Saccharomyces cerevisiae S288C: one gene and its partners. Changing the gene in region 3 together with the main gene of any one other region gives a genetic interaction. Each region holds a gene or a part of one and is shown on either strand. Other genes may lie near its edges.

The links. A genetic interaction does not mean that the proteins touch.
Region 1: mutations in MGL2 (region 3) and BPT1 together harm fitness more than expected from each alone (negative genetic interaction), as found in Saccharomyces cerevisiae (2 studies listed by BioGRID).
Region 2: mutations in MGL2 (region 3) and EMA35 together harm fitness more than expected from each alone (negative genetic interaction), as found in Saccharomyces cerevisiae (2 studies listed by BioGRID).

Annotation. Positions count from the first base shown.
Region 1 is NC_001144.5:112,708-121,611, reverse strand, and holds BPT1 (ATP-binding cassette bilirubin transporter BPT1), read right to left. Parts: upstream 5,181-8,904; coding exon 501-5,180; downstream 1-500. Other genes in the region: EMC6 (Emc6p), read right to left, coding at 1-290. UniProt on the Saccharomyces cerevisiae protein: Cooperates for the ATP-dependent vacuolar transport of bilirubin and glutathione conjugates.
Region 2 is NC_001135.5:300,771-305,950, reverse strand, and holds EMA35 (Ema35p), read left to right. Parts: upstream 1-3,729; coding exon 3,730-4,680; downstream 4,681-5,180. Other genes in the region: YCR102C (uncharacterized protein), read left to right, coding at 484-1,590; YCR101C (uncharacterized protein), read left to right, coding at 2,921-3,469; YCR099C (uncharacterized protein), read left to right, coding at 4,652-5,119.
Region 3 is NC_001145.3:684,160-691,886, forward strand, and holds MGL2 (putative carboxylic ester hydrolase), read left to right. Parts: upstream 1-3,356; coding exon 3,357-4,706; downstream 4,707-7,727. Other genes in the region: ERG12 (mevalonate kinase), read left to right, coding at 308-1,639; YMR209C (uncharacterized protein), read right to left, coding at 1,752-3,125; DML1 (Dml1p), read left to right, coding at 4,924-6,351; EFR3 (Efr3p), read right to left, coding at 6,536-7,727. UniProt on the Saccharomyces cerevisiae protein: Converts monoacylglycerides (MAG) to free fatty acids and glycerol. Has a preference for palmitoyl-MAG. Does not play a significant role in ethyl ester biosynthesis. Also possesses ester hydrolase and low but persistent TAG lipase activity.

The sequences.
Region 1 (8,904 bases), on a different chromosome or scaffold from region 3:
ACAAAACCAGTTATCTCTCTAAAAAACGATTCGAAAAAAATGTCATGAAGTGGGCTTTGGTAGAACTTTCCTGGTTGAAGTTGACAGATCCAAACAATGTAAATGACATTAATCAAGTTGTACAGAATCAGGAACCAAATAAACCCATGGACTGACTCGATTTGCAAAAATCCTGCAACAAGCCCTAGAACAAGTGCTGAGCTATCTTGCACGAAAAGTAAACGCTTCTTATTATCAACCACATTCGCAGTTGCGTTTATCTGAGTAAATACCTCTTCATTTGAGCTCATTTCTATCTGTCTGCCGCTGTCTTTCTCGAACACTGCTTGAGCAATCCAACATAAGGTTAAAATTAAGTTGTATTTAGTTATATCTCTACTAGCTTCATTTGTGATTACCCGGGTTACTAGAAAGCATATAGAAAGAAAAAGAATTGGCGTGACCGTACATATTGCAGCGCATTAAATGTTCTATATCTTCATATATAATAATCAATGTCATTATTTCAAATACCCACCTTTCTCACAAAGACTGTAAAAAATAGACGTTTTATCGGATAACAATTTCGAGGGTGAATCGAATTCCCTCACACTACCCTGGTCAAGAACAATTATCTTATCACTGTCCAATACAGTGTCGATACGATGTGCAATTGTTAAGATGGTACGGTCCTTAAATTCTCTTCTTATAGTGTCTTGGATAATTTTATCGGTTTCCATATCCACAGAAGCCGTTGCTTCATCAAGGACCAATATTTTGGAACGGTTTAGCAGCGCTCTTGCCAAACATAGTAGTTGTCTTTGCCCCACTGACAAGTTACTACCGTTCTCATTAATCTTGACATCCAGAATATCATTAACATTGCCATCCTCTTCATTAGAATCATCACCTCTTGGTTTACTGTGCAGCATTTTTTCCAGATGAGGCTTTAAATGTGCCTGCTCAACAGCCCTTTTAAGTTCATCTTCTGAATAACGATTGAAAGGGTCCAAATTGGTCTTTACTGTACCTTCAAAAGCTTGTGCATCCTGAGGAATAATTGCCAAATGGCTTCTTAAATCGAACAGACCTATGTCGGATATATCAATGCCGTCAATAATAATTTTACCTTCGGTAGGTTCTAGTATTCTAAATAATGCCAGGCTCAGTGTAGACTTCCCTGCACCTGTTCTGCCAACAATCCCAACCTTTTCACATGGCTCAATCTTCACGTTAATATTATTCAGCACTGGATCCAAATTTTCTCTGTATTTTGTGGAATAGTTTTTGAATTCAATACCACCCTTTGATGGCCAATTTTCATCTGGCCTCTTTTCAGGGTTAATGGACTGTGCTTCAGGTGGTAATTCGCAGTACTCAACAATTCTCTCCACTGATACAATGTTGGTTTCAATCGTCACAGTTGTCCTTACAATCCAAGTCAATGAACCTGTAACCTCTAATGAATAGCTCATTAGTAGACCAACCATACCCGAACTTAGTTGCCTTTTAGTATTCATTGTTGCTAGTGCTAAGATTGCAGTAGCCAAAACAATTGTAGCACCAATAGTTTGCAATCTCACGGATAACCATCTATTCGTTGATCTAAAGTTGAAGACAAAATCAACGTTGTATTGGATTTTTTCATAATTTAGATAGATGAATCTCTCAAAATGATCGTATGCATCAATAATAGAATAACCGTTCAAGCTCTCACTCATTAAGGACATAATCGGAGAGTAAGATATACTGATCAATCTTTTTAGCTCCCTAGATAGCACAATGTAAAATGTTTGATAGTAAATATAGATAACCACCAAAAACATATTGAACACTAAAAACCATGGCATATTGTACCCGACTAATATAACAGTAACCAAATAGGTTAGTATTGATTTGAAAAAAAAGGAGAAAATGTACTGTAGATTACTGTCCACTGCATCCATATCAGATGAGAACCTGTTTATGATCCTTCCAACTGGTGTAGTCTCAAAGAAAGTCATAGGACTTCTAATTACAGATTTGGCCATGCTTTCATGCAGTTTCTTAGAACCCCTAATAGAACAATACAGTAGCATCATAATACTCCGTAAATTATTGAATGCGGCCGATGCTACTCCGATTAAGGAATACACACCAACAAACATCCAAACCCTTTCATTTGAACCATTTTTTTCATTAGATTCTGACCAGTACTTTAACCAAAAATTCTCTGCTAAGTCGAAAACCCTTGTTAATATCATAAACAAGAAAAATAAAACAACACCTAAAACTCCACAAGCCTTAATATACGCAAGATAAATCTTTGTTTTGACTCTTCCCACCTCTGTCTTCTCGGCCTTTTGCGCCGTTTTCTTCACGGAATCCAATTGTGCTCCCACAAAGGGTCTAGGTCTTAGCGTAGCTAGAGAAGCTCTTCTAGAATTGGCTTTGATTAGTTCTAATTCACTCTCAGTAACAACCTCATCCTCAGTTTCTGATTCAGTTACTTTAAGCTGCAGAGGTTCATCCACTTCACTTTCGGATCGGTGTTCAGTTTGGACATCGCTTTCATTTCCATTATCAATCGGAGAATCAAATTCCTCTAGTAATTTTTTCAGTTTTGAAGTATTGTTCTTACGGTTCATTACATCCTCATAATTCCCTTGTTCAACAATTTCACCGTTTTCTAGCGCATATATCATCTGCGAATGTTTTAAAATTGATACAGTATTGGTAGTTAAAATAATTGTTTTATTTTTTAATAAAGCCGTCTTTCCGATCAAAACATATTCAATAATATTTTTACTAACTTCTGCATCAACAGCAGATAAAATGTCATCCAACAAATAAATATCTGCTCTCGAGTACACCGCTCTGGCTAATGAAAGACGGGCCTTCTGACCGCCTGATAGGGAAATGCCCTTTTCACCTACCAAAGTTTCATCACCATCTGGTAGTATTTTCAAATCGGGTAGCAATTGACATGCTTTAATAGTGAGGTCATAATAATCTTGGTCGAACTTGTGACCAAATAGAATGTTTTCTCTTACAGATGCGTTCATTATCCAGGATTCTTGTGAACAGTAGGCTACAGACGATGATCTAATGATCAGTTTAGGTGGTATCGAGTCCCTAGAACCACTCATGCAAGGAAGTTGACCAAGAATTGCCTTCAAAAATGTTGATTTACCAGCTCCTACCCGACCAACAACACAAACTAAATCACCCCTTTTTGCTTCAAAATGATCGATATTCTTCAACGCAATTTGAGAAGATCCGATAATAGACTCTTCATCTGTCCTCAAATTATCTCCAGATTGGCTAGATGTTAATACTTCTTTTGATTTCCATAAAAATGTAATATTATTCATCTCTATAGCAGGTAACGCTCTTTCATCCGCTGAAGGATCAATACGTTCGATGAACGAATCATCAATTTCGTCACTAAGTAGGAATGACTTTAATCTTTCCATAGAAACGCTTGTCTCTATAATGGTATTTATCATGGATGGAACGGAATAGATGGCACTGTTCAAAATATTAAATAAAGATAATGAAGGGAAGACAATGGCAGGAGATAACGGAGAATCACTAAATAAAGAAAATAAGCCAAATGTGGAACATGTCACCATTAAAGGTACACAATTCCACGCAAAATATATCAGATTGCTCACTATACCAATTTTCCGAAAATTTTTCAACTCCATATCATTACGAACATGATTCAATCTTGCCATCATAGGTTCCTCCCAGGCGTATAATTTAATAGATTTTATAGCATTCAAAAGCTCTGTAATAGTCTTGATTCTCATGTCCTTATACTTCATTTGAGTTTTTGATAGCTTTTTTACCTTTCTAGATAAGAAGGCATTGATAGGCATCATAATAGCCATAGTAACCAACCCTCCAATAACAGCCTTTCCTAGCAACCAGTACAGGGAAGTTAATACAACAATAATCTGAATAGGAGCGCCAATAATGGTTTGGGCATTTTCGAAAAACCGCTGGATCCTTAACACATCCACAGACATCAAATTTAAGATGTCACCAGTAGATTTTTCGTTACGCTCTGCTAGCGTCAATCTTAAGGACTTCTGATACACTAAAGAAGCTAAAGAGCCTCTTATCCCCAAACCAGCCTCAAAAATTCCAATATAAAATTGATTGGTGAGGAACACAGAAACCACGCTGATTACGAAAAGGGTTAGAGCAATAAATACACCATTTAAAGGAGGATATTTAGAAGATGTTTCCGGGTTCAAACCATCTATGAATATCCGTAGAAACTGGGGCTGTACTACAGAAAGTAAATCAGATGTCGTTTCATACAGCATAGCCACAGAAATAGTCCTACCAAATGACTTCCAAATGGCCCTCCAAAGAGAATTTCTATTCAACCATTTTTCCAATTCCCAGTTAGCCTTAAATTCCTTACTTATCGACTTAATATTCAGATCTACTGGCGGCAATGGTAACTGGTTAGGATCTTTGATTTTCTTGTTACGGTAAGTTTCCACAATCAGTTTGTTCATCCAGATAAATGTAATATAGGATAGTACATGAACGGGGGGATACCACCCATTTTTCTTGTAGTATTCAGATAATTCGTTAATTGGCTCAAAAATGCATAGATCATAAATAAAAATTGCCACAGAATTGAAAAGAAGGAGCACTTCTAAAATCATAGCAGTTTGTCCGCTAATAACAGTAAGCCTTTCGTTACTAGAACCATGATAGTACCTCTGCAATATCAAGAAGAGCTGTAGAAGAATTTGAAACATGTAATAGAAAAGCTGGTTGCCCATTGAAAATGTACTTTTAAAATAAGCTAAGTATTGAGTAGGGAGAGAAATACCCAAATTGAAAAGGAGATTCAAGTACAGAGCCTTCTTTAGTATAAATGGATAAACCCTATCGCTAGATTGGGATACCAAGGCCAGTTCACAAATTATAAGCGTGGACTGAAAGCAAACATTGGTCAAATGCGTTAGATGTCGACTGTTGATTTTACTTGGTAATGTAGGAAAGTTCTTAAATCTGGGTGGTACTTTATTGTTCTTATAAAGTTTCCACAATTGATAGCTACCAATCAATAGGAAAAAGACGGCTTGCCAGGCGGATATTACTGATATAAAACATGGATTTAATGCATTTGTGCCACTATCTGGATATGGTCGGTATCCATAGGGGCACCCATCTACCACTTCTAGTGAAGACATTGTCTTTATATTAATCTTTTTTAGACAAAATTTTCTTTATGATCTCTTTAAAATTAACCACTGCTAATATATGTTCAGAAGAGACCTTGGTATAGAAAAGTATGCGAGGACAATCTGTTGATAGGTTCAGGAGTATGCGATTTTAATTTGGAGAACTGGCTGAATTAACTTATACTCAGGCGCAATTTTTTAAAGGGAATTGGAATTATCGCGATGTCGCTACGGCCAAAAATTTGAGGGCATTTAAATATTATGGTATGCTATAAATAAGCAAATATATAATAAACTAGGCAAACAATACGATCAACATTGTGGGATAGCAGCCGTCGGGCTTGATGACGGACATAGTTTACTATAGTGATCAATAAATAATATAACAGGAGAAAACAAACAAAATAATTAATCCACCGAGAGAAGGAAATCGAACATACGGCGCCGTTACTTAGAAACCTTGGGAGCTTTTTTCTTTGTCTTATGTAATTGAAATTTTGGAAATCTGTCTTTCTTAGTGGATGTTTTTCCTTCATCGGTTTGGTCATCCCTGGATTTTTCTTGTGATTTATTATTCGAATTGGAATTCGGAACGACTTTCTTTCTTGGTTTTGGTTCAATAATTAATGATAATTGGTATTGTTTCTCAATATGGGGGATGTTTTCCAATGAATTTGATATACATTCAATTACCGTCCGATCTTTAGTGAAATCATAATGTGTTTTCTTGAAATATATGATCTCTTGTAAGATATCAACAAGTCTGCTCCTTTTGTTGAAGTTTATATATTTCTTCTCATCATGGACACCCTTTAAACCATGTTCCAAGACAAGATAATCCGGATTTCCGGAATCAGTAAAGGTTAGATCAGATAAATAAACGCCGAAAAACGGTACGCAGGGAGCGCTATGTAAAGATTTCAGCTCGTTTCTGTAATTTATGAAATTTTTCTTGGGATCCATCAACTTGTTCAGTGACTGCAATAGATCTCTCGTTTGAGGAATAACTGCCTGCCAGGTTTTCTCTAAACGATAAATTGGTGAAGAATATAATGCTGAAATGATTGCAGTCATGGAAGAAAAGTTATTGAATTTCCTACAATATTCTGCGATAAAAATAAAATGAGAGAGTAGCTTGGCGCGCTTACTTTTATCAGCCTCCTTTACAACAGAGTAGGATATGAAATTTGTCAGTTTATTGGCAAAACTGATAAACTCGTTCAAACCCGGTGAAGCCCCATACGATTTTGTATACTTGTTCTTCCAAATTTTTTGTAAACAATCAAAAATGGTTATCTCACAATAAATTTCATGCTCTAGTATCGTTAATTGAGTGGCAAATAAAACTGGATCGACGGCCAAAATGGATTCCGTGGTAGAGTATAAAGTGCCCGAGTAATGGTCCTGGCAGATCTGTTGATCTAACGTTTTCATTGGTGCAGTCGCTTCTTGTATATTACCATGTTTAAACTTCTGATTGACCTCCTTTAGTAATTCCACAGATCCTGTTATATTTTCCTTGATTGCTACTTGCGCAAAATAATCCAGATTTAGGGTCGCAAGATCGGGCTCATCATAGCCCAGGAACCAATATTGCTTGAAAAAGGTTGTCATAATCTCAACCACCCTACATTTAACCGGTATAAGCTTTTTCGTCACCCATTCATTGTATTCTTCAAAGCACAAATCCTCTGGTGGATCCAAATTATATTGCGAAATCAAGTAGCTTAAAAACTCCGTTGTAGTAAAGATGCTTCTGAAAGTGATTAAAAAAGTAATATCGAAAAATAGATCCTTCTTTTCATTATCTGTCAAGTAAGAGATCAGTGCGTGTTTAGAACCACCTTTAATCCTATTGTTAGAGCCCCAAATCAGTTCACTGTCATACTCGCGCTGCAAATACCTCGGTAATTTGACTTGGCTGTCACGCCATTCGTCATTGTCTTTAGTATCTGAATCTGCATAAACAGCATTCGTGTCACTTTTTTCGGCAGTTTCACCGCCGTCATAGGACCCATAGCCTTCTTCCCCGCGCAATAGCAATTCCGTGATATTGTTTTTCATCATTCTAGCAGCATAATTTAACAAATTCTCTCTTTCTAGAATTAATTGATTCACGAACTCAATGGCTAGTTTAAGCACATCAAAATAGTCATCACAGGATTTTTTAAAAACGTGGGCGAGATTAAAAAACTTTAAATCATTGAAATCAGAATCTTGATTGATGAGGTTGTGGAAGAGAATAAGACTATCCGGGTCTGGCTCATATTCATCTTCCTCCTCTTGGATATCAGTATTTTGGCTCCCATTCTTCTTATCCTTGGCATTATCTAAATTCAAGGATGAAGGTTTCATTGGTTCATAATAACCGGTAGGCAAGTCGTTTTGCATTGGCGAGAAAACGAAAGGATCCTCTAATGTCAAATGCTGGGCGACAATTATAAATTTCACTACTACATCATGAAAATATTGCTTCATATTAAAATAGTCGGATAAGATATACGATAGGGATGATAAAGAATGTTTCAAAAACTCTTCATCTTCATCATCAATAGCGACATCTTCGTCAAAAACTCTATTCTCATCTCCCAACTCTCTCAAGTTTAGAAAAATAGTTAAATCTAGGTTTTCCAGAATATCAATTATAGGAATTGTTCCGCTTACTTCTTCGTAGGTTTTGAAATTCATTTCAAAATTCAACATTTTTGAAAAATTAGCCGTGTTACTGAGATATTCATTAGCACTTTTGATCATTTGTTTTAGTTTACCATCAAGCTGCTTCTTCCTGGCCCTTACAAGGCTTAGAGTTTCTTCATTTAGCGGGTATGGTTTTTTCCTTTTGGACCATATGGTGTCAGACTCATCGGAACTTCCTGACACATTAGAGAAAATGGTACCTCTTCTCCTTCTTTGAAACGGGGCTGATGGTGAATGGTGAGACGTTTCTGACGAGCATGAAGTGCCCTGTTTGGAAGCTGGAATTTCATCAATATTTTCCGCAACAATTCCTGAAGCACCAGCAACGGCTTTAATCATCTGTCTCGGTAGGTCATGGGACATATGCTGGTTGAGACGCTTACGCAAAAACGGGTTATTCCATGAAATTGTATTGAAAGAATCCTTGAAAAATCGAGGAGTCAATTGAGGCAGTATTGTAAGTTCGTTAGGATTTGAGAGGAAATGTAGTAAACGCAGTAGAAAATGAAATTTTTGGAAGGTTCCTAGGATTGACTGTAGAAGAGGGGATCTTCTTTCTGGATCCTTCTGGGAGGCTATGGCTTCTCTTTCTTCAAACAATGTGGAATGAAACCAAATATTTGCATTTATTGAAAACCTAGACAAGGTGTAAATTAGTTTTTTGAGGGTTTTTTTGAAACTATCTTCAACTAAACGGAGATTCCTGAAAAGCATATAAACATAGGTTATTTGAGCTGTTAATAAATCCAAGGAAGTTAGAAACTTTTCCCGTTCATTTGCCAATAGGTCGCGCTCTGTTAAATTAACATAATGACACACTAAGCGAGTGAGGTCATACCAATAGACGACATCACAATCATTGAGATAGAACAGATCGGGGCTTGACGTTATAGGCATCTTTTTACCAGCTATCTTCGATATTGCAGGAAAAGACGAATAGTCGTTCACGGTTTCAACTTGATTTTGTGGTAAATATGGTAACGTGCGACAATAAACATCTAAATCCTGGTTATAGTACAGCAGCTCACAGCAGCCT
Region 2 (5,180 bases), on a different chromosome or scaffold from region 3:
GTTTCCGAGATAGAAAGTGCGGTAGTAGAGAAGAACAATAAACGTATCAAACTTTGCGCAGTCATGGAATTTCCAGGAAACATTTTTAGGTTTTCATATGACAGCAGTTCCTGTCCGAGAGCTGTGCCTTTCTTGTCTCAGCTGACTAAGATGTCTCGGATCCGCCCGGCTGGCGCGCGGCTCCGTCTAGTGGGATAGGCTTTCAACACATAGGAAACCCTTCAGATGATGAGAACACATCGAATCCCAGAGAGTAATATCACCAAGAATAAAGCAACCATGATAGACAATATTACTAAGTGTTCCTCAACAGATATTGAGAAAAGTTCTTATAAAGCGGGCAGGCTTTTTTCTATTTTTTTCTTTTTCTTTATCTAGCTTAAGATCCTTCTAACCATATTCTATAAAATGGCAAGCTGAATACAGATTATCAACGACAATTACATATAACCTACAAACAGGCAAGTTGCAATTCCAGAAACCATGAAGGCTGTCGTCATTGAAGACGGTAAAGCGGTTGTCAAAGAGGGCGTTCCCATTCCTGAATTGGAAGAAGGATTCGTATTGATTAAGACACTCGCTGTTGCTGGTAACCCGACTGATTGGGCACACATTGACTACAAGGTCGGGCCTCAAGGATCTATTCTGGGATGTGACGCTGCCGGCCAAATTGTCAAATTGGGCCCAGCCGTCGATCCTAAAGACTTTTCTATTGGTGATTATATTTATGGGTTCATTCACGGATCTTCCGTAAGGTTTCCTTCCAATGGTGCTTTTGCTGAATATTCTGCTATTTCAACTGTGGTTGCCTACAAATCACCCAATGAACTCAAATTTTTGGGTGAAGATGTTCTACCTGCCGGCCCTGTCAGGTCTTTGGAAGGGGCAGCCACTATCCCAGTGTCACTGACCACAGCTGGCTTGGTGTTGACCTATAACTTGGGCTTGAACCTGAAGTGGGAGCCATCAACCCCACAAAGAAACGGCCCCATCTTATTATGGGGCGGTGCAACTGCAGTAGGTCAGTCGCTCATCCAATTAGCCAATAAATTGAATGGCTTCACCAAGATCATTGTTGTGGCTTCTCGGAAACACGAAAAACTGTTGAAAGAATATGGTGCTGATCAACTATTTGATTACCATGATATTGACGTGGTAGAACAAATTAAACACAAGTACAACAATATCTCGTATTTAGTCGACTGTGTCGCGAATCAAAATACGCTTCAACAAGTGTACAAATGTGCGGCCGATAAACAGGATGCTACCGTTGTCGAATTAACTAATTTGACAGAAGAAAACGTCAAAAAGGAGAATAGGAGGCAAAATGTCACTATTGACAGAACAAGACTGTATTCAATAGGCGGCCATGAAGTACCATTTGGTGGCATTACTTTCCCTGCTGACCCAGAAGCCAGGAGAGCTGCCACCGAATTCGTCAAGTTCATCAATCCAAAGATTAGTGATGGGCAAATTCACCATATTCCAGCAAGGGTCTATAAGAACGGGCTTTACGATGTTCCTCGTATCCTGGAAGACATTAAAATCGGTAAGAACTCTGGTGAAAAACTAGTTGCCGTATTAAACTAGATGACGAACAGATATTATTTTTCTTTTGTATACACAGTTATTACGTATGTTAGAGTGACTTGGTTTTTTTTTTTTTAATGAAATTGTTTGTTATTGATCACGCCTTGTAGGGGAAACAGATGAGAACAGTGAAAATCATAACTCATTATGTGATTTGTTGTGCGTCACCCTTCCATGATTATATATCCTTACTATCTACTATCCAACTACTACATATCTATTGAACTCATATGTACCAAGCACATAAAATTATGCACCTATTTCCATTGGCAAAGACTTGGCGAAATTTAATACACTGTAATAATATCCGGCGAAGCTCTTTAAGAATTCTTACCTATAATAGCGGCTCGCTGTCCGAACGATTGCGCCGCACTTTTCTGCCTCTTACATTCCCTTTTCCTAAGGCGATAAGCAGGCTGAATGGAAACTACGATATAACGCAGTAGAGGTCCCCCAAGAGCTGGAAAGAAAATATTGGTTTGATAGCCAGCACTATTCTATCCAGTGGGCTCTTGTACCATTTTCTGTGGTATGGCTTTGATTCAACTGCATACGTAGTTAACGCGATCAGCCGCACATGGGCATTATCATTTTCAGGGGTACTGGTAAACCCTATTGTTTAGAAAGAATACCTGGTAAGCGGGTCTGTCGAGTCTTTCCCACTAATTTTGAAGAAAAAATCTTTACCTAGTTTGAGAATAATCGTGGCGTTCGTAACATCACGAGGTGAGAGAGACCAGTTAGGTAAGGGTATGCCAATAAAAGGTTATTGATACTTCAACGAATCTTCATATTAAAAGTGCCTTCACCAGAATAAAATTCTAACGTCATCCTAAAAAGCATCAATTGGACATAGTGAGGGAAAGTTTTCACCATTTAAAATCTATTCTGCAGAATACCATTCTAGACTATGATCCCTTAAAGATTCCCATTCTTTAAATATACAAATCAGGTTCAACAGCGTATCTTTATGGTATTATCGTACTACTGGCGACATTAGCAAATCCAAGTATCCTAACTAGGTTTCTAGTCTTATCTCTTGGTTTTCTCCATTAGATGGTAAACACGTTACCTTGATGGCTGTACAGGAAGTGAACATGGTCAACTCAAAGTCACCGGACTCAAAATAATTGCAATTACCTAGACTGGATATTTTTAGAATATTATGAGAATATTTTTAGAATACTTGCAACCCAAAATATATTTAAATGCCGCCAATTTGCAACCAAAAGATTATCCGCTACCTTTTTTTTAGTCATTGAATTGTAGCATAAAGTTCCGAGCTTTGAAAAAAAACTTTGAACTAAGAAAAGGTAAGAGATCCTCAATTATGATATTACTTCATGCCATATATACTCTTTGGGTAATTATACTACTTCCGCTACTCAATGCAGAGAAATTTGTCCCAAAAGTAACGGAGGCTCCTATAGAAACATCATTTAATCTAGTGAGTTTTGATGATTCCAACACTTCTATCAGATTAGATGGTTGGGGGGTTGTATGGATAAGTTTCGACGCTGGAGAAAATTGGGAAACGGTCAAAGAAATTGAAGAGCGCATTTTCAGATTTACTGTTGATCCTTTCCATGGACAGGAAAGAGGTTTCGCTTTTATATGTGAATCACCCAAATTCTACATTACCGACGACCGTGGGGAGTCATGGAGGGCTTTAACTATACCCTCATCAGAAGAATATTTAGATGGCGACTGTTTTATAACTACTCATCCTAGAAACAAAGAACTTCTTATTGCGAATTGCTATAGCTATATGATAGACGCAGACGTTTTATATGACCCAAGTGAAATTTACTTGAGCAATGATGGGAATCCTTTTTTAAAATTAAACCTTCCTTGGAAAAGAAAAAAGACGACGATATAACAACTTAAAGCTGTCATTTCATTAAGTCTAGCAAGGATTCTGACTTTACTGGTAATGATACTTCGATACTCTGTTTGTTCTCTAACCGTGAATACGATGAAGAATATCGCTTAACTGCTACCTACACACAGTTGGCTTTCAGTAGTGATGGAGGCAAAACGTTTAAAGATTTTGATGAATTTAAAGATAAGATTGTTACTCAATACAAGATATTGAAGTCATATGTGGTCGTTTTAACGCAAGATGACGGGCATAACGAGATGTCATCTACGGACATCTGGATATCCAATGATGCATCTACTTTTCAAAAGGCACAGCTGCCTACTCAATTACGGCACGTCAAAGTGATTAAAATTCGTGAAGATTCTATCGGAAGGATCATCCTTCTTATATCGACAGAAATCACAAATGAGGAAAATGCTGATCCAGATCTCTCAGAGATTTTCATATCAGATTCGCAAGGGTTGAAATTCTCACCTGTTGAATGGACACCAAACCATCAGTTTGGAAATTTTAGGCTCACTTTTCCTGATTTCTTGAAAGGGACAATATTTGGATCGTTTCATCCTTCCATTGACTATTCTAATCACCAAGTAAACTATACTGAAAATATAGCCGGAGGAGAAACCAAAATATCCGTTGATAACGGCCTCACATGGTCAAATTTGAAAGTTGTTGATGAAGAAAATGCCGATTCGTTCGGCTGTGATATCACTAGGCCTGAGAGATGTTCACTTCAGGGTTATTTTTACAATCTAAAACTTTCAAATCCTTCTGCTGGGATCATATTAATGACAGGTTCTGTTGGCGATGACAATGAATTCGATCGGAAGGACCGAAAAACTTTCATTTCTAGAGACGGTGGTCTAACATGGAGGGTGGCCCATAATTCTTCTGGATTATATGCTACTGGTGATCTGGGAAATATTATTGTATATATCCCGTCTCCTTCATATAAAGATGGTGATGTACAATCCAAACTTTATTTTTCCTTGGACCAAGGTAGAACATGGAATCAATATGAGCTTGTTGACGCTTTATTTTATATCCATCCATTAGAGTTGATTAATACAACGCCAGATGGATCAGGCTCAAAATTTATTTTAAGCGGACATCTCATTACTACGGCTAGTCAAGAAGGAAACAACACCAACATCTCATATATTGCAAGAAGTGTCCTGTATGCGATCGATTTTTCTGCTGCATTTTGACTATAAAACGTGTGAAGAGGAAGATTTCGAAGACTGGAATTTGGCAGATGGGAAATGCCTTAATGGCGCCAAATACATGTATAAAAGGAGGAAACAGGACGCCCGTTGTTTGGTAAAAAGGACATTCAAAGATATGATTTTGCATGAAATACCTTGTGACAGTTGTACTGAATCCGACTACGAATGCTCTTCTGAATTTGTTAGAGATGCAAAGGGTGACTGTATACCAGATTATGATCAGATTGCCCTTTCCGATATATGTGACAAAGCTAATGGCGAAACTGTATCATTAGAGCCATTACAATTAATTAAAGGAGATAAATGCAAAAAGCCCATGGAAATTGAGGCCATGAACATTCCATGTGAAAAAATCCTGAGGGAGAGCTCGAATGGTAAGAAAATAGCAACCATTGAAAACAAGTTTGACTTTGAAATTTAATTTTATCAATATTTCGATACAGTTTTGGGTGAATCTTTTATCATGCTTAAGTCAATAGAAG
Region 3 (7,727 bases):
CTACTTCTCCCGTGGAAAGCTAGCGATAGCCTTGTACTCTATCTCACTTTCAGAATGCGTACACATTTATGTTTAAAGAGGCGTTTTGTGCTAGTTTTGTCTCAACGTGTATTTTATCGGTTGTAATTGTACTGACAATTTTCGGGCCTCGTTTGGCTGTCGCACTGAAATCTTCGACAGGGTATCGAAGAACGATACAACGATATGCCTATAAAGGTTAGTTAGCCATGATATTACTTCCTGGTTAGCTGGTGCGCTTCTTAGTCCTAACTTGCAAATTTATATCTACGTATAGAAAACTGTCAATATGTCATTACCGTTCTTAACTTCTGCACCGGGAAAGGTTATTATTTTTGGTGAACACTCTGCTGTGTACAACAAGCCTGCCGTCGCTGCTAGTGTGTCTGCGTTGAGAACCTACCTGCTAATAAGCGAGTCATCTGCACCAGATACTATTGAATTGGACTTCCCGGACATTAGCTTTAATCATAAGTGGTCCATCAATGATTTCAATGCCATCACCGAGGATCAAGTAAACTCCCAAAAATTGGCCAAGGCTCAACAAGCCACCGATGGCTTGTCTCAGGAACTCGTTAGTCTTTTGGATCCGTTGTTAGCTCAACTATCCGAATCCTTCCACTACCATGCAGCGTTTTGTTTCCTGTATATGTTTGTTTGCCTATGCCCCCATGCCAAGAATATTAAGTTTTCTTTAAAGTCTACTTTACCCATCGGTGCTGGGTTGGGCTCAAGCGCCTCTATTTCTGTATCACTGGCCTTAGCTATGGCCTACTTGGGGGGGTTAATAGGATCTAATGACTTGGAAAAGCTGTCAGAAAACGATAAGCATATAGTGAATCAATGGGCCTTCATAGGTGAAAAGTGTATTCACGGTACCCCTTCAGGAATAGATAACGCTGTGGCCACTTATGGTAATGCCCTGCTATTTGAAAAAGACTCACATAATGGAACAATAAACACAAACAATTTTAAGTTCTTAGATGATTTCCCAGCCATTCCAATGATCCTAACCTATACTAGAATTCCAAGGTCTACAAAAGATCTTGTTGCTCGCGTTCGTGTGTTGGTCACCGAGAAATTTCCTGAAGTTATGAAGCCAATTCTAGATGCCATGGGTGAATGTGCCCTACAAGGCTTAGAGATCATGACTAAGTTAAGTAAATGTAAAGGCACCGATGACGAGGCTGTAGAAACTAATAATGAACTGTATGAACAACTATTGGAATTGATAAGAATAAATCATGGACTGCTTGTCTCAATCGGTGTTTCTCATCCTGGATTAGAACTTATTAAAAATCTGAGCGATGATTTGAGAATTGGCTCCACAAAACTTACCGGTGCTGGTGGCGGCGGTTGCTCTTTGACTTTGTTACGAAGAGACATTACTCAAGAGCAAATTGACAGCTTCAAAAAGAAATTGCAAGATGATTTTAGTTACGAGACATTTGAAACAGACTTGGGTGGGACTGGCTGCTGTTTGTTAAGCGCAAAAAATTTGAATAAAGATCTTAAAATCAAATCCCTAGTATTCCAATTATTTGAAAATAAAACTACCACAAAGCAACAAATTGACGATCTATTATTGCCAGGAAACACGAATTTACCATGGACTTCATAAGCTAATTTGCGATAGGCATTATTTATTAGTTGTTTTTAATCTTAACTGTGTATGAAGTTTTATGTAATAAAGATAGAAAGAGAAACAAAAAAAAATTTTTCGTAGTATCAATTCAGCTTTCGAAGACAGAATGAAATTTAAGCAGACCATAGTATCCTTGATACATTGACTCATAATCAGTTAAATAGCCATTCAATCCCTTTGAGCTATCAACTTCATATTCCTCCACAAGGTCCTTCCACCCGCGAATTTTACGCAGCCGACTTAATTCATCTCCTGTAAATTGGACCAAGGGTTTGGTGCCATACTTTAATGGACCTACATTGACCCAATGCAGCTCTTTACAGTATTTCTTTAGTGCTTCAATACTGGATAGATATTCAAACATATTTTCCGCGGTATCTATGAAATATGCGCTACAAATGATAATTTTATCATAGTCTTTGGAAATGGGAGAATATCGTGTGAAGTCCCCCCATAGTGGGTCCAGATTACTGCGGTGGCCAACTTTGCTCAAATCTGCCGATAAACTTCTCAACTGATTATCAAACACTGTCTGGCATGAATATTGTTGTACAAAAGGACGTATCTTAACGTCATGCTTATATTCGAGTGCAAATAGGTTACATATGTACATCAAGGCTGATAATTCGATGGAGTCCACCTGTATTTTGGGGAAAGTGGTGGCAAGAGTATGGGATAGGCCACCCACACCAGCCCCTGGGGTCACGATAAGAATTTTCTCTTTCATGTCCCCGGCACTAATCACATGATGGTTGATTCTACTAATGATAAAATTTTGTAAAGGATCTCTTTCCACACTATAGTAAGAGCTGAAATCACGACACAAATGTGCTAATGCTTCATGGACCACACTTTGGCTGCCTCGAGACGAAACTATTGGAAATACGAAGTCAGGATTCAATTGAATAAGGTGACCATCTTTAATCTTATAGCCGTGTTCCGCGCATATCTTTTCAATTTCCTCTGTAAATTCTTCATCGTGTTCGTTGGAATGAATCAATTTCCCTAAAGTGAACTCAATTATCTTGTCAATAACTCTTGCGTTTTCTCGGATACCCTCATTATTTTTCATTAATTTGGTGAAGTAGCCTAATTTTTGCAACTGATCTTCTGAAATTCCATTTAATTGTCTTGCTCTCCGAAATAAAAGGCCATTATAGCCTTCTCCTCTTGCTCGATACTCATGTAAACGGATTAAATTCCCCGTAAGATCAGGAAGAGTGGGAATCTGATAATTAATTTTAGAAAGATTCGATTGATCGGCAGATATTGATTTCTCAACATCAACCAATTTTAAGGAGGGCGATAAAACGCTGACTTTTTGGGCCAGATTTGATTTTCTTGATAATAGCTTTTCAACATATGATACAAACCACCTCTGCAACGGCTTATTTTGCCTTAGCAGTGTCATCAGGACTACCACAAGGGCTAGAATTATATTTGATGCCAGTGAGCTAACCATTGGCGCTCCTCAACTTCGTATATCAATATTTTTACCTCTTCTATTTCCTGAAAAATTTGTTAATTGTACAGCATCGTTTACGTTTTTTTTTTTTTACGGGTCTTCTTACCTAACCCCGAAAAGTATTGTGGATCTTAAAAGGGTCTCAATTATTTGAAGTTCGATAAAAACCAACTACTTTGTTATTTTAAAACTGTATTATACAAACGCTGGTAAACTTCCAGAGACGATATGCGTCTAAAAGAATTGTTACCTAATTTTTTGATTGTTCATCAAGAGGTCCCTGAGGATCCTATTGCATTCAAGTCCACCGATAAACGAGAGAATGAAAATAAAGAGATCACCATCCCTGAGCTAATAGATACTAAAGTTCCTGAATTAGCTGACGGTGCTACTGACACTTTATATGGTTTACTGGTCAATGGCCATTTACAAACTGCATATGGTTCCTTTAGACACTTTGACAATATATACAAAGTTCAATATAAAAGAATGATAATCAAATACCCACATGGGGGAGAAGGGACTGTGGATTTTGCTGTAAATGGTAGAAGTACCAAAAGAAGAAAAGTGGAAAAAGAATACGTGCCGACAAGTCAACCGGTATTTAACGGAAACTTGAAACGAAGATATTCGTACTATTCCCCTGATGATCCTAAATTGAACTCAGACGATGCTAAGCCTATGCTTATTATTCTCCATGGATTAACAGGGGGTTCGAGGGAAAGCTACGTGAGGGCAATTGTTCATGAAATCACCACGAAGTATGACTTTGAAGCATGCGTGTTTAATGCTAGAGGATGTTGTTATTCTGCAATTACAACGCCGCTATTATACAACGGTGGTTGGACCAATGATATAAGATATTGTGTTAATGACTTGAGGAAAAGATTTCCGAATAGAAAGTTTTATATGATGGGATTTTCGTTAGGCGCATCTATAATGACAAATTACTTGGGAGAAGAGTCAGATCGTACTAAAATCGAATGTGCTATTTCCGTGAGTAATCCATTTGACCTGTACAACTCTGCATATTTTATTAACAGTACACCAATGGGGTCACGATTTTATTCACCTGCTTTGGGTCACAACTTACTACGCATGGTTCGAAACCATCTCTCTACTCTGGAAGAAAACCCTGATTTCAAAGATGTTATCGAGAAGCATTTAAAAAAGATTCGCACTGTGAGGCAATTTGATAACTTGTTGACAGGCCCAATGTTTGGATATAAAAATGCAGAGGAGTATTACAAGAATGCTTCATCATATAAAAGAATACCCGGGATCAGAACTCCTTTTATAGCTTTGCATGCTCAGGATGACCCAATTGTCGGAGGTGATCTTCCTATAGACCAAATAAAATCCAATCCATACACTTTGCTTCTAGAAACTTCGACGGGGGGGCATGTTGGATGGTTCAAAGACAGATCCGGCAGAAGGTGGTACGCAGAACCCTTATGCAGATTTTTGAAAATATTTCACGACGAAATTACTGTAAAGGGCTTAAAACCTGACTTGGAAAATGTTCAACTCCCAGATCCTAATTGCGAACCCATAGCCACAACCTTTCGCGCGAATTAGTTTGTAAATAAGTCAACTTTTTAGATGTGTAACCTGATAATTTTTTTTTTTGATGTTCGACATCATTATTTCTGAATGAAAACGTGAAAAGCTTCGCCAAACTTAAAATGGAAAATTTCGAATGGAACAAAATATAATCGATGCGATGAATTAAAACCTTGGAAGAAGAGGGTTAATTGTTAAAATTACATATATAATTGGCAGACAAGAATAAAAAATGCATGAAGTAGTAACGATATCGGTTTCGCAGAGAGCAAACCATTTGACTACTCAATTCTTCAATATACAAGAGGGCTATTTACAATTGTCTAAAGAACAACAAGTCAATGACTCCAAAATTTTTCTGAATTCGGTTGTAGATAAAGTTTCAAAAACAATTTCATATGCACCACGTGCCTTACTTTGGGATGCCCGTACAGGTAATGGTTCACTAGGAACATATCAATATTCAGAAAGCCAAGACTATCATTTCGGCAATGAAGACAAATTCAAGGAGCAAACAGTTATAAAGACTCATCCAAGAATACCTAAATCCGAATATCAGAGTTCTCTAGATGCAGGAGCACCGCTGCCTTGTTTGAACAGAGAAAATACGATGTATTGGTCTGACTATTCTAAACTTATCTATGGTCCTTCAAGTTTCAATATTTTGAGAAATTGGTACCATGACACTGAAAATCCAAACCAACCTGACTTTCAAAACTTGGGGGAGCGAAAGTTTGACAGGTATTCCATTGGTTATGACGAATTTACCGAAAATTACTTGCAAGAGTTTTTTGATGGAAATTTGCATAGAGAATTGGAAAAATGTGACACCCTGCAAGGCTTCAATCTTGTAAGTGATATGGAGAGTGGATGGGGCGGGTTTTCTAGTGCTCTACTGGTGGAATTAAGGAATGAATTACCTAAAAAGGCGGTCTTTTCATGGGGACACAATGAAGATGATCCATTCACAGATGACTTCCCTATGAAAAGACTTTCAAAGAAATGGCTCCCGATCATTTCGAACAAATTAAGAAGCACAATAAATATGATGCAAGAATCCGATCTTTACTTCCCATTGTATGCTGCTCCTGGACTAACTAATTGGGAAACTGCTGGAAAGAGCTGTAGGATATTTGATTCTATAAATGCGACAATTTCCCAAAGCAATCTTGAACAAAGAAAGACAATGGATTATCTAACAACTGCCATTACCTTAGGATATTCGTCGCGAAATATGGTCACTGGCATGGTTATCGGTGACACCGATTACTCATTCTGTTCTCGAGTACTTCCTTTCAAGAATAGCCACAAACCAAATTCTACTCACATATTTTCAAAAAGTTTCATTGATAGAGGAAATCAAACGCATAAACATCATTCCGAACCTGATTCACGGAGTAAGATGATTGAAATGTATACACACAGGTATTTTCCATCTGATACGATACCGACAGAATTTTCCAATGATCGTGAATTTGTTTTGGAATTAGAATCATCTGAAAAAAATCGAGATATATTCAAACATTGGAATGAGTTTGTGGTAAGGTACTTCAAAAATGATAGTGACAGAGAAGAATTGAAAAATGAACTTTCCGATTACGCCTCAGCGTACGAATCTGGGTGGTATGAAGACGAAGATTCTGGTGATGACGATATGTGATAAGCAGTTTGCAGCTACGTATTTCCTTTCTCCAGTTGAGGCAAACAGGACTTCTTCCATCTTTTTCGAAGTTTTTACTTCGCCATTTGATCTATATCTACGTAAATTACATTAATTAGAAAGTCATGCTATATCACTCTTGCCCTTGAAAGCATCCACAGCTGTCCGTCAAAAACTTAATTTCTCAAGTGGAGGAGAAAATTTTACCTCTTGAACTTAAAGAATGTAAATCTTCATTTGCGTCTTTAAAGTCATCGTTTTGATTTTCACCAGTTGCTGTTTTTTGCAAAAAGGATTTTCTATTTCCAATGCTACTGCGATCAGAAAGACTAGATATTGGTGCAAGTCGCAGAGAATTTGATCTAGCAACGTCGATTTTATCCAAGCCAACAATATTCTCCTCATCAGGATCTTTGATTTTATTCGCGTCATCTGAAAAAGTTTTCAATTCATTTAATAAAAATGTGATATTAGTGACACGAGATTTCACTGATTGAGAACCCCGAAAAGAGCCATCTCTTTTCATATTATTTGGAATATTCTTTTCATTCATAGTTTTTTTCAAATCGCTAACTTTTGGTGCGGTGGCTCTCATTGTTTTCCATGATCTTGCGTCCTCAGCAACAAACCTATAGATACTACCTTTTGCATTAGCATCAGAAATTACAGTATCGTTAGCTTCTTCTATATTGTCATCTATGCTGTTGTCGAATTTATTTTGCTTGGCCGCAAAATCGTTGTTATCATACACTGCTTTCCCATTTGAAAAAATAGCATTAGGGACATTCTTGTACTCCAGAGGTGTAGTACGAACTTGAGAGTCCGACAGTAAATCAGAAGTAGAAATTTGATTATCACGAGACAATAAAATCTGCGCCCCCTTCTTGCTGTATTTATTTGATCCAGTATCAGAATAGTATGACAATAAATCTTCCTTGGTAAACAAAGTTCTAGTTTGCATTTTGTACTCAGTTTGTGACTTGTAGTCATTGAGTTTTAAAAAGTTAGCTGCTTGTAAATGGTACGAATAATAGGTATACTCAGGCTCAGAAACGTTCTCTAGAAAATAATTCAAACCGGATAATAGTGCCATTTTTCCATACTTGTCAAAGATCTCTTCCATCATTTCTTTTTGCACACCATGTGAATCCAGTTCACGTAATAATGAGTACAGTTTTGAAAAGAGAATGCTGCTTGGAACCTCAGTTTCAACAATGTTAAATAAACATATAATGTGGTTTTTCATGTAATGCGCCAAGTCGATGAATAATTCCAAACTGATACTTGGCTGCGTAATATGTTCAACGAGGAAATCAATATCTTCCACAACTGCATTCTTTTCAACATCCTTGACGGTGTCACTTTTCAATTTCAAT